Linked DNA regions of Bombyx mori. The protein of the gene in region 1 interacts with the protein of each later gene in a pairwise test. Links are inferred from orthologs where the notes say so. Each region holds a gene or a part of one and is shown in the gene's direction. Other genes may lie near its edges.

Evidence for each region.
Region 2: the proteins of pre-mRNA-splicing factor syf1 homolog (region 1) and peptidyl-prolyl cis-trans isomerase interact in a two-hybrid assay, tested with the Caenorhabditis elegans proteins (2 studies listed by BioGRID). The link is inferred for Bombyx mori from reciprocal best matches to the Caenorhabditis elegans genes syf-1 and cyn-13.

What each region holds. Positions count from the first base shown.
Region 1 is NC_085110.1:13,377,537-13,381,303, reverse strand, and holds the start of pre-mRNA-splicing factor syf1 homolog, read left to right. Parts: upstream 1-1,475; 5' UTR 1,476-1,815; coding exon 1,816-1,854; intron 1,855-2,089; coding exon 2,090-3,767. Other genes in the region: zinc finger CCCH domain-containing protein 13, read right to left, coding at 1-506.
Region 2 is NC_085121.1:14,023,853-14,026,810, forward strand, and holds the end of peptidyl-prolyl cis-trans isomerase, read left to right. Parts: intron 1-74; coding exon 75-278; intron 279-1,425; coding exon 1,426-1,598; intron 1,599-2,181; coding exon 2,182-2,326; 3' UTR 2,327-2,336; downstream 2,337-2,958.

The sequences.
Region 1 (3,767 bases):
GAAGAACTAGAGCTTCTAGATGAAGACGTACTGGACACGACTTTTTTTTTATCTTTTCGCATGTCTTTGTTTGAATCCATTTTCATCTGTAATTCTAGTTCACGCTGCAACTGCTGTCTTCGTTTTTCGAGGACATCTGTGTCTGCATACTCTAAGTCATTTTGGTCCCAGTTATCGATTTCTCCTTCGGGGCTTTGACCTGACCGCACTATAACAGTAGAATGCAATCTAGTCTTCCCATCATCCTTCACTAAACGTTTCTGATCATTGTCTTTATGAGCTGCGCGTTGTTTAGAAGGACTGATAAGAGTATGCGTAGAAGCAAATTTACAACTTTTGCCGTAAGCACAGCTGCCGTGTTGGGCCCACTGTCTACAATGTTCAGTTGTTTTTTTAGCACTTGATGATTTCTTAGTACCGAGCCGATCAAACACACTAGGTCTAATAGAGAGATCTTTCGTTTTCGGCAATTCAACAGATATTTTTCTTTTTCCTTGTTTTGACATTATAGTAGAAATACATTTGTATCACATTAAACTAAAAAAAAAGAACTAAAAAATAATCTTCTCTAACCGGCACGGTGAAGTCAAGTAAATTAAAGGTTTTATATTTTTTACAAAAAGGAATTGTACAAACATTTATTTATGGTCTATTATCTATGACAAACGCTATTATTTGGAGCGATTTTTTTCTACTAGTTTCTCTTAGTAGGCAAGCGGAATGTAGTTCTCGTTACATAAATTAATATTTACTTAAATCTTTGTTTAACAACACGTTTGCATGCAGTACGGCAATGGATGGCCATAATTCCTAACATAGCTTACAAGTTACAATCAGCTTACATCTCAAACTCAAATAATAAGCGTATTATCTATGATAGCTTACAAGGCCCAAGGCAAAAGCAGAAGCGCTTTTACACGTGGAGTAGATAGGTAGGGCTCACTAAATTTGGCCCCTCGTTTTTTGATTTTTGGATTTTTTTTATTTTTAATTATTTGTTCGTCGTTTGTTCGTTAATTTTCGAATGTAAAAATTGTTTGTTCGTCTTTTAATTATTTATAATTAATTAAACAAATGATCTCCCTTAAGTTGGGCCCCCCCTTACTAGATATCTTTATTTTCATCGCTCAGATTAATTAATTTTGATCAGTTACATTATTAAGCCGCACAAACTAATACTTAAATTAGTTATCTCACAAGTGTGTATAATCTATAGATACTTAAAATTTATGGTATAATCGGATCTATTCCGTTCTTTAATCTATAATCGGATTTTTGGCAGGAACGCGAGGAGTGAAATTGTGTGATTTGTTTTATTTTGTTTACTTAGTGTTTCTTCAAGTTTAAATGTGTAATAACGGTGGTTTATTAACTGTTTAATATCTGTGAAAGTGCACAAAAGTGGGAAAATGAAACAAAGCCACTGGACGTAACTTTTCGGGATTCTCCAAAAAGTCCACTGAATCAAAATTCTCAGTAAATGACCACCATTTTACTTAGATTATATTTCATCTCACATCATCTCATCTCATTTCATTTCACTCCATATTATGATTTTTCATAAAAATTAAAATATAAATTAAAATAAAACATGACCTAAAGGTCTTAGTTACCAGGTCATAAAATCTCTTAAAAAAATAAGGTACAATCTATGATATTGTGTGTCATAGATTAAACACTGAAGTGTGTTCCATAGATTATACACATAATATATTTGAGTGTGTTCTAAAGAAATAGAATTAAGCTAATTATTCAATTACTCAACTGTTTGAATTGAATTTATAGTACCTACGGTACATATTCGAAAGCTTTAGAATGCCTCTTCTAGACGGAAAAGAAATCGACATATTCTTCGTAAGTTCAAAAATATTTTTATAATTTACAATGCTTAGTGTGCATACATATTTACTTTTGCCGACATATGAAAATACAATCAACAAATATTTTTTTCAACCCAAATTCAATTAACAAAGAAACCTTAATATATCAACTGCTTTAAAAAATCTAACCAAAGCTTTTGTGGTTTTCTGGTACGTTGATATCAAACATTATTATCATATTAATTCAAATAAAATTGTTATTGTTACAGAGTGAAGAAGATCTTCCGTATGAAGAGGAAATCCTAAGAAATCCATTTTCTGTCAAACATTGGCTTAGGTACATTGAACACAAGAAAACTGCACCCAAACATGAAATTAATATGATATATGAACGAGCTTTAAAAGAATTACCAGGATCTTTTAAACTTTGGTATAACTATCTTAAATTAAGAAGAAAACAAATAAGAGGTCGCTGTATAGCTGACCCATGCTATGAAGATGTAAACAATTGCTTTGAAAGGTCTTTAGTATTTATGCACAAAATGCCTAGAATATGGATGGATTACTGTTCATTCTTAACAGATCAGTATAAAATAACTACAACAAGGAAAGCGTTTGACAGTGCTCTTAGAGCTTTACCAATAACTCAACATCATAGGATATGGCCTCTTTACTTAAATTTCTTGAAGAAACACAATATACCCGAAACAGCTGTAAGAGTGTTTCGTAGGTATCTTAAATTATGTCCTGAAGATACTGAAGAGTATATTGACTACTTAACTTCAATAGATAAATTAGATGAAGCTGCAGTCAAATTGGCTCAACTAGTTAATAATGAGAATTTTCAATCAAAACATGGAAAGTCAAATCATCAACTTTGGAATGAATTATGTGAATTGATATCAAAGAATCCTGATCAAATTCATTCTCTGAATGTCGACGCTATTATCAGAGGGGGATTAAGACGTTACACTGATCAGCTAGGCCACCTGTGGAACTCTCTTGCAGACTATTATGTTCGAAGTGGTCTTTTTGAAAGAGCCAGAGACATTTATGAAGAAGCTATACAAACTGTGACTACAGTGAGGGATTTTACACAAATATTTGATGCTTATGCACAATTTGAGGAATTAAGTCTTAGTAAAAAAATGGAAGAAGTTGCCAAGAAAACTAATCCAAGTGAAGATGATGATATTGATTTAGAATTGAGACTTGCCAGATTTGAGTATCTTATGGAAAGAAGGCTGTTACTGCTTAATTCAGTTCTACTTAGACAAAATCCACATAATGTGGCTGAATGGCATAAAAGAGTCAAATTATATGAAGGTAAACCCCATGAAATAATAGATACATATACTGAAGCAGTGCAAACTGTAGACCCTAAATTAGCTGTTGGTAAACTTTTCACACTGTGGGTTGGATTTGCAAAATTTTATGAAAACAATGACCAAATTGAAGATGCCAGATTAATTTTTGAAAAAGCTACACAGGTAGCATATGTTAAAGTAGACGATTTAGCTTCAGTTTGGTGTGAATGGGCTGAAATGGAAATCAGACATGAAAATTATGAGCAAGCCCTAAAATTAATGCAAAGAGCCACTGTTTTACCAAGCAGAAAAGTAGCATATCATGATGATTCTGAAACTGTGCAAATGAGGTTGTATAAATCACTAAAGGTTTGGTCCATGTATGCTGACTTAGAAGAGAGTTTTGGTACATTCAAATCTTGCAAAGCTGTGTATGATCATATTATAGATTTAAAAATTGCTACTCCACAAATTATTATCAATTATGGATTATTTTTAGAAGAGCATAATTACTTTGAAGAAGCTTTTAGAGCATATGAAAAGGGTATTGCCTTATTCAAGTGGCCTAATGTGTATGATATTTGGAATACATATCTAACAAAATTTTTAAAAAGATATGGTGGTTCAAAACTTGAAAGAG
Region 2 (2,958 bases), on another chromosome or scaffold:
TTTCGTCGCCCAACATTCAGATCCATACAGATCCATACATCATTGAAATTATAATTAGAATTAAATTTTTTCAGGTCACACCATCGAAACCGATAGAGAAACGCAATCCTCAAGTGTATTTCGACATAAGTGTAAACAAACAAGAAATAGGCCGTATAATTATGATGCTTCGAGCCGACATAGTCCCAAAAACAGCGGAGAACTTTCGATCTTTGTGTACACACGAGAAAGGTTTCGGTTACCAGGGCAGTAGCTTTCATCGAATCATTCCAGAATTCGTATCCTTTTCAAACATATAAACATTGGTCTAGTCATTTTCTAAAATATGCATAGATGTGTAATAATAGGTAGGGGAAAAAGTCTTTTCGCATTATAGAATGTACTAGCGACCCGCCTTCGCTTCGCTTCGGAAACATTAAATTTTACTATTGATAGCTGAGTCCCGCGATGTTAACCGCGGTTATTGTCGTACCGCGGGTGAAGACGCGAGGCGAAGCTAGTCTAAAAAAATTAGCCTAAGTTACTCCTTATATCATCAGCTACCTGTCAGTGAAAGTCCCGTCAAAATCGGTCCAGCCGTTCCAGAGATTAGCAGGAACAAACAGACAGAGACAGACAGACAAAAATTGTAAAAAAATGTTATTTTGGTCTATGTACCGTATATATATTCATATGCATGTAGTAAAAAGTGGCTATTTCAATATTACAAACAGACACTTCAATTTTATTTATATGTATATAAATAAAATGAACTTGTACTAAATTCTCTTTGGCTATACTATTTGTATCTGGCTGGTTTTAGTATCATTAAAAGTTATAGAACAAAATGGTACCGACATAATTTAGTTAAATGTAAATAAACTATATTAAAAAATGTGAATTTTCTTAAAAAATGTGAAGAAACTTTCTCCCCAACCTATTAAATTCCACGTCAGAATTTAGATTTGGTTACTGGGGTTTTTTAGACATTAAAAATTCTCTTACGTCATTCTCATAATATATAGTAAAAAAAAAACATATTATTGTGTGCAAATCATACGTGATAGAATTGAAACTTTGAAAAATTTTGGTTTCGAAATAATGAGACGAATGTAAAATTTCGGGAAGAGGATAAATTGTAGGCTACAAGTGATACAAAGCTTGATAATTATTTTACATTTTATTCGTATATATTACATAGATTTATTCAGAATGTATTAAGTAAGAATATTAGGTACGAAGCAGAGCACAAAGAGAACCACGCTTATATTCGTGGTATACTGTATAATGCTTCTATCTCATTTTCTCCCACGTTAAATCTTATGAATTTATGTGTCTGTCTCTTTTTACTGTCGCTTTTTCGTTTCATCAACTTTCGAATCACAACGATGCTAAAGAAGATTTTACTTTGAAAAAAAAAGGTGATTTCCTGAATTAAAAGCCTAGATGTGTCAAGGAGGAGACTTCACGAATCACAACGGAACTGGGGGAAAGTCTATATACGGCAGAAAATTTGAAGATGAAAACTTCGCATTAAAACACACCGGCCCCGGGGTTCTAAGTATGGCTAATTCCGGACCCAACTCGAATGGATCACAATTCTTTCTTTGTACTGCAAAGTAAGTAACATTATTAGTTTTTCTATCTTATTGCCCTTGTCAGTTTCGATTTTTATCTATACTAATAATAAAAATAATATTATAAAGAGGAAAGATTTGTTTGTTTGTTTGTATTGAATAGGCTCCGAAACTACTGAACCGATTTGAAAAATTCTTTCGCTGTTTGGGAGCTACACTATTCCCGAATGACATAGGCTATAATATGTTTTGAAAAAAATTAGGGATATTTACTAAAAAGCCAATAATCTAACCCAAGGTGTAAAAAATTACCTAAAATATTATTTACATCGCGTGCCCTGCGAAAACTATTGATGACAGAATAAAATAATGTACTACGACTTTGTAGAACACATTATTAATTACAAAAAGTGTCGCGTCAGAATATTATGTCAAATTATTGTAGTTATGCCGTAATAAGTGTTCTTTTATTTTTAAAAATAAAACAACATCAAATATCGTTGAATTTTTTGTTAAAAACTCGAGCGGAGCCGGTGCGAGCCGCTAGTGTAATAATAATTATGTTTCTCATGAAAAATATCTCACAGCGTTTCCAGAGTCTTAGTAATGATTTCATATTTTCTAGAACAGAATGGTTGGACGGTAAGCACGTGGTTTTCGGTCACGTGATCTCCGGCTTGGACGTGATGAAGAAGATGGAGAGGTACGGCAGTAAGAGCGGAACGGTTTCAGCGAAAGTTGTCATAAGTAATTGTGGAGAATTACAATGATTCTGATGAACCTTTGTTGTTTTATTTGATATTTAATAATAAACGTCTCCTTAATCAGACGTCTGAATGAGCAATACTAAATCTATCTACTCACTAGTTTTTAACCACGCCATATTTTTATTTTGCAATCGAATTCTCCTATCATGAACACACGTGACATGTGCATTTATGGATGGCCTCTTATTACATTGATAAATCTGGTCTCGCCTCTGGTTGTAGAGTTAACCACGGAATCCCATATCTTGTGCGCCCCCTTGGCGCAGTACCGTAGGGGGATTGGCCCCTGATGCCCGAAAAAAGAATGTGTTATAAAACCGGATAAGTTGCTATCAATGCCGGGAAATTTCCGGTTACGGCTTGAAGGACATAACCTTTATTATACTGTTGCGACTTCCGCATTAACTTACATAGTAGTCGGATTTTTAAGACATCCGGTTACTTAAAACCAGGTAGGCGGTTAGTTCGTCTACCCTATAAAGCAATAAAAGAGTCATCTGTTACCAGAAGGCGCCTAATAGCTTCAACGTAAAATTCCACGCCTTAAACATTCGACATCCCAAATTTCTTCCTGGAACGTATTTCAGTTCTATTTATATAGGATTTAATGAAAGCAATCCGTCTTAATTACAAAT